Linked DNA regions of Nothobranchius furzeri. The protein of the gene in region 1 interacts with the protein of each later gene in a biochemical or structural test. Links are inferred from orthologs where the notes say so. Each region holds a gene or a part of one and is shown on either strand. Other genes may lie near its edges.

Region 1 (5,539 bases):
TCCGCACACATTCAGCACCGAAGCTAAAGGCTGTTCTCTTTGGTGCTCTCAAATTACAAGCATGAGAGCAAGGAATTATATTTTTAATTTATGCAAACACTGAGAAAGTCAGGCTTTGAGAAAGATGCCAGTTTTGTTGAATATTTTAGCCAAAACTATCAAGAACAGCAATAGCAGAATGAATAAGTTAAAAAATGGAAGCTTCCTTTGAAAACTGAGCTACGAGTTCAAAACCTGCCAGGCACAAAAAATAAAGGACATTTTCCTTTGCTAAGCTGTTTAAAAATGTATTCACTAGATTGAGACGTAAGTCTTAAGAATACTAAATAAGACAAATCAAGTTTGCTGCTCACCTCAAGGACATGCTTCACAACAGCATCCGAGGCGCCAAATAGGTCAACCCCAGTGATGCCGCGCACTTCCGTCTCCACGGCGCCAGGAGACAGGTTCTTCTTCCTCAGACCTGGAACCATCAATTAGAGGGTCGCGTGCAAGGAAGGAAAGCCATGTTCATGTTATACAGAGCACAACCCCAGCAAAGAGGAGGAGGAAGAACACAAAACAAAACATCATTCCACATGATCAAACATGGGGTCAAATCATGTAAAACAAAAGAACAAATTCAGAGTAAAAATAGGACTGTTGGACTACTGAACACACACACATGGGGTTGAAACACACAAACACAACCTTCGTTTCCTCATTAAGATGAATCTGGAAACAATCACCACAGTAGCAGCGCCAGAAGAAATGACTGATTCAACTGAACACCACAGTAGATTTACTGATCATCTCCAGAACTCAGACTAAATCAGGAAGGAAATTTGACAAGAAAACAGTATTGCATTCATGATTTCAGCCCATTGGAAGATTATGTGGTGAACAGATAGCTCAACAGCACTAAGAGGAAGGAAATAGCACTAGGAACCTATGTGCAGGCGTGGATGTTTCCAGGGAAAGCATGGGATATGGATGCCAGTGTGGACTTGGTTGATGGGAGTGGGGTGGGTGGTGGGAAGTGTTGAAAAGACGTGCTCTGATGGGGCGTTTGATGTCTGATTTGAGAACGAGTTTGTCTCCTTGAATGAGCATGCATGTGTCAGTCAAGGTAACTGAGCTGCATGCAAGGTTAATAGAAAATGGCAAGTTAGTTACAAACTAGCAGCAATGCTTGATAATATTATGGTGGCTACAGCCATGTTATAGACTCAGAAGGTGAGCCAATCATGCAAATAATGGGTATTATTTATATACACTTTATGTTTATGTTTATTTATTTAGCAGACACTTTTATCCAAAGCGACTTACAATTTATAACCTATAGGGCATGTTGTGATCTGTGGGGGAAACCGGAGTACCCGGAGGAAACCCACACATGCATGGGGAGAACATGCAACTCCACGCAGAAAGGCCGCAGGCGAGTTTTGAACCTGCAACCTTCGTGCTGCGAGGCAACAGTGCTAACAACTGCACCACTTTAGTAACTGTTCAGTTTTAAAAACGTATTGAACTTGAGAGACAAAACAACAGGGGCCTTCCACTGAATGTGATCTCTCAAAGCAAAATCAGCATGAAGACCTACCGAGGAGAATTGTTACAGCATGCAGTTTAGCATTTATAATGCAGCAATGGATGCAATCAAGCTCAATATATTAACATTATATAAAGCACAAATCCAGCACAAGTGAGGTCACAAGATAAATAAAAAAATGCACATTTTCCATGTTTAAAAATTAAAGAAGATGAGAGCAAAGAAATTGTTCAGTTTGGGTAAAAAAGAAAGAAAGAAGGAAACACATTAAAAGTGTTAAAACCATGCAGAGATACAGAAACACTTCTCCAATTTCACTGGACCATTTTACACTACACTAGATCTTCTCCAGGCCACCATGCAACGTTATCCCTAAATGCAACAACATAAATGTCTCGGTCCTGAAAGGAGAGGTGTTTCTGCAAAGAGCCCACAGAGAATTGTCATCTAGGAGCTGGAGAGAAAGAAGAGGTAAAGGACTTGTATTAGTCCTGTTTCTGCCTCCTTCCACTCTGTACTCAACCCCTTCACCCAAACCCAGCCCACTGTCCACTCTGGTCCTTTCATCCCAGGCCCTCACCGGAGATATCCCACACTCGCACGGTCTGGTCCAGACTGGCAGACACCACCAGGTCTTCAGATGGGTGGAACTGGGCACACATCACGTAGTGATTGTGTCCTGTGAGTACACTGGGTGACACAAAAAGGGAGGGGGAAAGAAAAATCTAACTTTAATGTTTGCAGGGCAGTGAAAGCTGCGAGTCAAAAACTAGAACAGACCTATAGTATAAAAATTCTAATGTCTGAAAAGAGCTCAAAAGCAATTTACTGAGTATTTGAACCCACACTCTTCCCTGTATCGAATCAAATAGCTAAACTATGACTCGACGATTAGTAAAATAATAAAGTGCACCAACTGTCTTACCATACACACGTCCTGGACTGCCAGTTCCAGATGCGGATTGTCTGATCATCAGAGGCACTCAGAATCCAGGGGTATTCCTACAGGTAAAGTGAGTATTTCATGAAAAAAGCCAACATACAACCATCGCAAACATAAAAAAACTTTATGAACCTTCACAAATTTAAGCAAGGTCATTTATTAAAACCCAAATGCAAAGCTGACTCAAGTTGTATCAATCTCTTTACTGTTGTTCTGTTTATGTTTATATTAAAAATCAGGATCAGAACTCTAGATACATATCCAAGGTGTTAAGAGACTTGAATAAAGCTATTAACAATACATCAAGTCACCAAAGATACATTTTAGGACAAAGTGTGACAGTCCAACTCACATGATGAAAGAATGTTGTTCTAATGTAGTCCAGGTGTCCGAGAAGAGTAAAGAGGCAGCGCCTCAGCTTGTAGTTCCACACCTGGTTCAAACAAATTCACTTATTAAACACAAAAACCTAAAAGGTGACAAAGTTTTAAGTATCACAAACACTAATCCACAATCTAACCCAAACATATTTCCTATAATTCCAGTTTTAATAGCAGTCTTACCTTGATTTTATAGTCATCTCCTCCAGACACAAACAGGGGCTGCTGTTTATGGAAATCAATTCCTCGGACGGGGCCTGCAGGTAAAACCACAATTATTTATTTATAAAAAGGTGCGTAATATCAACAAACACGATAGCCACGTCACCGTCTCACCGTCATGTTCATCAAATTTGTCGATCAGTGTGCACATCCGATAGTCCCACAGCTGGATCACACCGTTGTGCAAACTTGCAAGAACCCATGGCCTTTTGGGATGGAAACTCAGGCCTGAAATGTAACATATGCTGGATTAAATATAATAACACACTTTAAGAGCTGGGAACCCAAAATACGTTAACGATAGCTACCCCAAACATATGTGAGCGCAACCGCAAAATGCTAATCATACAGAAAATTGAACGTATGACGAATGTATGTAAATACTTAAATAACAACAGCAAAATATGTTTTAAAAACCATCTCCTTTTATAGAATACATTAATTGATCAGGTTCACGCCAGCTAGCGATGTTAGCTTATGTGCTATTAGTTGTTGGCAAACTCTTACCTTTGACTCGGGCCGACTTCGTTTCAAATTTAGTTAACATTCTCACCGTTTAAGCCCTTCAAACCCTAATATTAAAACTATGGTTAAAACAAAAGTAATCAATGAGAACAAAAAAAAAAATTCAGTGTAAATGACAGGGACGGCCTGGACTCCTTCGCCTGTTTAGCCGATTTCTTTTTCCTGACACGTAGTCCGCTTCTGTCTTCCGGTTATGGACAATAAAGTTTTCCTCTGACGCAGAAAGCTCCACGGCAGCGGCGAATAGAAATAGATCTCATCGAACTGCACCAACAGGCGATCTTGGGAAGTCCCAATGAAAATTGAGTTCAAACTTATAAAGCTGATATAATTCGGTTATATAAATGACAATGGTAAACCCGTTATTGCGAATTATAAATTTAAAAAAAAAAGAAAACTGAGATTTTTCATGAGTCCTCCCGTCCTCCCCGACTTTTTATGTAGATCCGACATTAGGCGCCAGAGAGCTTAACAGCGTCACCGCCATATTGGGTGGGTATAAATATATATATATGTCCGAAAATATATTTAATACATTTATGTTTGCTGGTTTTAGATCTATATTCTGTATTGATTTTTCACGTGGATATGTATATTGACAAATGTGGCCGTTATATTAACACATTTAATTACTGTTACTTTGAATGATAGCAAGACTGGATGCTTGGTGGGTGACTGCCTTGTAAATCATTTAATATATGCAGATGACCTAGTCCTCATGTCTCCCTATAGCGCAGGCCTGCAGCAGCTGCTCAGGGCATGTGCTAAGTATGGTGAGCAATTTGACATACTGTTTAAAGAGTGTGGTTATGATTGCTGCTACTAAAGGGGACCTGAAGCTTAATTTTCCATCTTTTAACTTAACAAATCAGGTCCTCAAAGTGGTAAGCAAAGTAAAATACTTGGGGCACATTTTAAGAAGTGACCTCTGTGATGACGAGGATATTAAGAGGCAATGCGGTAAGTTGTACATGCAGGCTAACACTCTGGCACGTAACTTTGGTATGTGCTCAGATCCTGTTAAAGTGTCCCTCTTTCGTTCCTTTTGTACTCCTTTCTATGCAGCCCACTTGTGGTGCAGCTATAGTAAGGTAGTAATGAAGAAGCTTCAAGTGGCTTATCAGGATGCTTTTAGAATCCTCATGAAGCTCCCTAGATGGACTTCGGCAAGTCATATGTTTGTTATAACATCCCTACTTTTCATGCGCTTCTGAGGCTCTTCATGTATAAATTCATCTGCCGACTGAGTTTGTCAGCTAACGCTGTTGTTAGAGCACTGTCATCTTTAACTTACAGTGACACGAGGTACTCCTCAGTCCTTTTTAAACATTGGAACAACTATATGGTTTTTAATTTGAATGTGTTTTTTACTTCTTTTTTTATTCTTGTTAAGGACATATCCCTTGTCTGAAATAAAGTTTGAATGAATGTATTATTATTAAGGATTTATTGGGGGTTCAATAGCAATGAGTGTCCAAATTGATGTGCAGTAAAGGAATGCACTAAAGCTAATGTGCTTGACTTGCCTTTCATCAATAAATACTAATGCAGGAGTATTCATTACAAATAATCCACAAGACAAAGAAAGTAATATATAATTTTTAATCATTATATTTACAAAACAAAAAGTGTCAATTATGGTTTATTTCATGTTTTTCAGTGCTGTGAGTTTGTGTTGGCCCAGGGCACTGATTAGCCAGAACCCTCACCTGCTGATGAAAACCTTTACAGCCCAACAAAGCTGCATTCAATGTGAATCTGATCTCTTTTTAGTGCATAGCTAAATCCTTTCACAGTACCCCTTTATTGTGCAGTTACTGACGGGTTGACGGTCATGCCACTTCTGGATTTCTCTCTATTGTAACTGAGGTGAACCTTTGCCCATGGGCCACAGCAGCTGATGAAAAGGGGTCACTGAAGTAAACAAACTCTAGCAAC
Region 2 (5,497 bases), on another chromosome or scaffold:
GGAGCTTTACTCAGATGCTGGGTCAGCACTATGAGGTTGATCAGCGTTTCAGGGTGGCTGCTGTCCTGATAGGGAGGAAAAACAGATACAATGTGAGCAGAGCTGGAGGCTTATTTTCATTAAGTTTGTGTAATCTAGACAAGATGAGATAAAATGATCCTAAATGTGTTTTCTGAGGGTAAATCTGAATGAAAATGACCAATTTCCCCCTCTCATCTATACAAGATGTTGAATGAATCTCTGATCCTGTCTAATCCAAATTTCTGCCTCTCAAACAAACGTGAAAATGAGATTATACAAGCGGACAATAACCTCTCTTTATGGAGGCAGTTAACCCTTGGATCATTTATTTATCGAAAAGTCAGAGCTGAAAGTTACACGACACCCTGTTCTGCCTGTACAGTGAGAGAATATCAATGAATAACTGATGCTTTGTAAAAATTAAACTTATCAACACTGACCAACACAAGACACTGCAAAGCTGTAGAGTTTACATTAAAGCACATTTATAAATACTGAGATGAAAAAACGTATATTTACAACCAAACTAAAGATTTATTTATTATATTAATCGAACATTTGGAAATGAGTTTTTTGCTGTGAAATAACTGATTCTTTGCAGGTGAATAAGAGCTTTATTGAACACTAAAGTATGTGCTGCCATCTGCTGGTACACTGACAGACATTCAGTTAATATTCAATAAACCAGTTCCTCTCATCAGATAGGATGAGACAGAACTGCTGTCCTCTAACCTTATCAAGAGCCTCCTGCAACACTCCTTCAGCCTCCTCCCACTTATTCTGCGCCATGTAACAGGCTGCCTGGCCATTAAGCAGCAACAGAGTAGACGAGTACTTGTCACACATCTCTTGGAAAATGTAGTAAGCATCCTGCAGCTTCTCTCCACCCTGGAACAAGGCAATCACAAAAGCAACACGGGTTTATTTATTTTCATCTGAAGCTTGTGGTTTTCAGATGATATTAGTGGTAAAGAACCCTGTTACGTCTGACTTTACTGGATGAGGAGGCATGAATTTGTTTTGTTCCAACTAAATAACAATCACAATATATTAATGCTGACATTTTGTGGTATCACTCTAATAATAATTCTTGCTTCATCAAGAGTTAATAGAACAGCAAATAGTTTGTGGTTGATCATTCACTTATGAATCATACACAATTCATATTTATTTCTTACCACAGCAATATTAACCCAGGCTGTGGCTAGCTGGGTTAGAGTTGCATCCTCGTCTTGCTCCTGCATCTTCTTCAGCTCTTTCCTGTAATAAATAATTAGCAGCAAAATACCTCATTAAACAGCCAAAAGCTAATTTTGACCATTAGGTCATGTAGAAATTAAACAATTTGAGTCATAATGTGCAGATTCTCTGTTAGCCATAATCAAAGCTCATATACAACTAGTAAACAATCTTTAGTGTGTACGTGAAAACACATTTTTGAGGGTGTGAAACAGTTACTCCATACCTCGCCAGGTCAACACGATCCAGACTGAGAAGCACCTGAATGGTCATGGCCATACTGACAAATAAACACAGAATTATGCTCAGTTTGATATTTTTAACCATAAAACAATCCAACCACACATTTAAAAGTTCACAAAATAAAAAGAACAACTCTTGTATTTTTAATTATATTAATCAGAATGCTAAATTTGTAAGCATACATTTTTAATTGCACTTCTTTATCGTTTAACACAAATCCATGAAGCAGCTTTATAAATGTTTACTTTTAACCTATTTTTCTAACAATGTAAGATTAAACTCCAAGAGAATTTCCTAGAATAAACTATGATTTTAAAGACGCTATTCTATTAATATTCTCAATATTTATATAAATGAATATTTATATTCTCTATATTTAAATAGAGCACATAAATATGCTCCATAGTTTTGGAGTAATATGTTAAAATGAAATAACCTTGAATCCTAAGCATCATCCTATTCAGACTTAAAGAGCAAGTCACCCCCCATCAGATTCTTACTCAACTCACTCTTCCTGTTTGAAAAATGCAACAAATGCTGTTGCCTAGCAGAACAAGAGGGCGGAGCCACTAACAAATACACACTCACGACATTGTGACATCATAATCTACCATCTAACATCATAGTGTACCTCTTATCCATAGAGATGGCAGATTTAAATTAAAATGTAGTGCGAGTTTTTAGCTGACGATGGTGCATCACTGACAGGTTTAAGCAGAATATTTAAATTTGAACTAAGATGCACTAAAGTGCCGAATTATTGACTACATTTGTCTACAGCCCAATCACTCATTTATATAGTTTATCAGCAAAAAAAAAAATGGTGATTTGGCGTGGCTTGCTCTTTAAACATAAATCTGGATTCCCCCTTACCACTCCAGACTTTCTCCTTGATGAAGCGTTCTGAGAGCAGCATCAGAGTTGGTCTCATGGTGGTAGATGGAGGCCGCCATGAGCAGGAAGGTGGTGTTGGCAGCATCCACACTCTTTGACATCTTTTTGTCCAAATCAGCAACAATAACATCCCTGAACAAACATAATAAGTAAAAATATACTCAAGAGATGAATTTGTAAATCAACTGGAACAGCAATTTTTACACAAAAGGGTGAGGTTAACTAATATAAATAGTTTGTGTTGCTAGGGGCAAAATGAATGAGCATTGTGTAAGCATGCTTGTACCTTTTGCTTTCATTGGACAAATACTCTGCAAACATCCTCACAGCTTGCAGCTCAGGTGGAGAGCTGGCCTTGATGTCATCCAGAACAACAGCATACTTCCTCTGTAACAAAGAAATACAAAACCTCCGGTGAGAGGGTGAATTTTTGTCTGTCAGCAATAACGTCCACTGCCTCTTCAGATCAGGCTGATCCCCCACCAACACGTACCTGAGCAATGTAGGCTCTGTACAAAAACATGTCCCTTTCGATGTCCTTCTCTGGTGACGAAGGCTTTAAAAACCAAACACAAGACGTAAGTACCAAAATCAGTAACAAGAATATTAAGAGTAGTCGTTGTTGTTAGCCCATTAGCTCAATTGCTCTGTTAACCACACTGACAGATAAATAACGCGACAAAACGAGCGTTTAAATAAATGGAAATGCGTCACTTACCTTCACTTTCTGAGCTTCGTTAATACATTGCTGGTAACTACCGATATAATAAGCATTTTTCACATCGAACAGTTCATCAACATCACCCTGTTGCGCCGCCATGTTGGCTAATGAGCTTCCGGACACGTCGCAAAGCTACGTAGGCTTCCTGCTTTTTTACAAAGGATTCTGGGAAATGCTGTTCAGAAAACAAAAATAACTAAGAACCGAAAATGACATGAAGAAAATATTTGTCCCCTCTTAATGTGGACTCGGCGCGTTATCTATTCATGTATAATGTTTAAACTAGGCGTTATCTATTCATGGATAATGTTTAAATTATTTTATACTTGTATTGCAGAGTTATACTGGGCACAAATTATGTTAAAATTAACTTTAAAATATATTTTAAGTAAATATTTTTGTCGTCCTATATTTCTAATTAGTGTGTTATTAATTGTTATTAATTCAAAGGAATCAAGTTCAAACACTGCAAAAAAAAAAAGCTGAACGAAGCCATTTTGACTTATCGCGTTTAACCACAAGAGGGCGCTTCAAGATAGATAGATAGATATAGATGATAGATAGATAGATAGATAGATAGATAGATAGATAGATAGATAGATAGATAGATAGATAGATAGATAGATAGATAGATAGATAGATAGATAGATAGATAGATAGATAGATAGATAGATACTTGTGTTTCAATTTTGGAGCTGATGATTTAATGATCTGGCCCATTTATCAGATCTAAAAAAAGTGATGTGTGAACAATAAAATAAGGATATGACATAGGGAATTTCCGCCAGCCTCATTAAACTGCTGTTAAAAAACTTCCCATGCCTTGAAAACACCCGGAGATATGTACTTTCCTTTTTGTTTTAGCCAGGAGTAATAGTTAATAGGCATGCTCTCATTAAATGCTCTATTTTGTCAGATATTTACAAATATAAGTAAAAGTGCCAAAAAAATGTCACAAAAATGAACGGGCCACATGTTTGCTGGTGATTTAGAAACTGCTCCCCACGGTTCCTGTTCATTGTTCCCTTAGCATCATTTCCTCAGGGAAATCTTCATCCGTGGGATTCGGACCTGGACGAGAATAATTACTGGAAACCCCAACGGGGGCAGTGGGTGTGCTGGACCTAAAGAGCCTTTTACTTTGGGCGTGTTTGGGCTGTTCTGCTCCTCTCGTTGCTCTTTCATTGGTTCAGAACGACATCAAGTTTGAAACTTTTTTTCTGACCAAGTAGGCGGGGGGAGTCTGGTTACGCCAACAGAAAACTTGTAACCGATCTCAGAGTGTCCGCGAGACGAAAACACTCTTAATAATTCACACTTCTGCGCCTGGTTGCAGAACAAAAGAGCAGCGGAGAACTGCTTTTGTATAGTGGATATTCGGCGAACAAAAGTAACGTTAGTGGGGTGAATATGTTGTAAAACCACTTCCTCTGTGGCAAGGATGAAGAAGTCTTGAGTGACTTTGCTCTGATTAATTTGTCAACTTTTGCTGGCGGATCGCTCCCGTGGCTCGGTGAACCGTAGAGAAAGGTGAGTTCATGTTCCCGGTGATATTAGCGGTTCACGGGTTTTTTAAATTAAACTTCTTCTCAAACTTTAACGAACAAAGATTTGTTGTCAAGGAGGGGGGCTGAACTCACGCCACCTCCGAGTAATTCAGTACGAGGCTGCTGCAGCAACGTTTCCGAGAGGTTAACGGTGGGTGTTAATGAGACTAGCTTAATTTGAGGGACGCCATGTTCACCTAACGGAAATTGGTCAAACACATAAAAACGACCCGCTGCTAAATTTCCCGAGATTAGCATTTAAACGACTGTTCTGATCGATTTAAATTATAATAAAAGAAGATACTGTGGAGTAATTATTTTTAACTATGTGATCTATACTTAAAGCTGGTCCATTCCCCCTGTTTACCACATATTTACTTATTTTCGAACTTATTCAAATGAGACCTGGTGATAAACCTCAGAACAAGATATCCCATCCCTTCAACGTTTGATATCCCAATTGAACTGTTCTGTAATAGTGTGGAACGTAAAGCAATGCACTTAATAAAGTAATGCAACATTTCATTTATTCATTTAAACATTTTTGAGTGATTGTCATGAGAAACTGAGTCAGATTCAATAAAAGCTAAACTATGCAACAAGATTATGTTTATTGTCTAAATTGCCTAAACAGAAAACGTTCCACACCAACTTTATAGGTTAGATGTGCTTTCCTTATGGTGGGTGTTCAGAAAACCCTCCATTAAAAAGAAACTAATTATCATCCCCTTTGCTTTAAACGCCTAATAATCTTCTATGCACTAAGTGGGCAAATCCAAAGTTTATTCAAACCAAGCCTGCAGGGAATGATCGGGTTGTATATGGGTTGTAA

The links.
Region 2: the proteins of copa (region 1) and cope form a complex in vitro, tested with the Homo sapiens proteins (3 studies listed by BioGRID, with this or other methods). The link is inferred for Nothobranchius furzeri from reciprocal best matches to the Homo sapiens genes COPA and COPE.

What each region holds. Positions count from the first base shown.
Region 1 is NC_091751.1:41,091,702-41,097,240, forward strand, and holds the start of copa (coatomer subunit alpha), read right to left. Parts: upstream 3,780-5,539; 5' UTR 3,624-3,779; coding exon 3,584-3,623; intron 3,305-3,583; coding exon 3,191-3,304; intron 3,112-3,190; coding exon 3,038-3,111; intron 2,908-3,037; coding exon 2,827-2,907; intron 2,534-2,826; coding exon 2,457-2,533; intron 2,222-2,456; coding exon 2,112-2,221; intron 464-2,111; coding exon 354-463; intron 1-353. UniProt on the Homo sapiens protein: The coatomer is a cytosolic protein complex that binds to dilysine motifs and reversibly associates with Golgi non-clathrin-coated vesicles, which further mediate biosynthetic protein transport from the ER, via the Golgi up to the trans Golgi network.
Region 2 is NC_091748.1:57,727,152-57,732,648, reverse strand, and holds the start of cope (coatomer subunit epsilon), read right to left. Parts: upstream 3,275-5,497; 5' UTR 3,218-3,274; coding exon 3,116-3,217; intron 2,954-3,115; coding exon 2,891-2,953; intron 2,785-2,890; coding exon 2,684-2,784; intron 2,530-2,683; coding exon 2,377-2,529; intron 1,541-2,376; coding exon 1,487-1,540; intron 1,282-1,486; coding exon 1,200-1,281; intron 910-1,199; coding exon 754-909; intron 66-753; coding exon 1-65. UniProt on the Homo sapiens protein: The coatomer is a cytosolic protein complex that binds to dilysine motifs and reversibly associates with Golgi non-clathrin-coated vesicles, which further mediate biosynthetic protein transport from the ER, via the Golgi up to the trans Golgi network.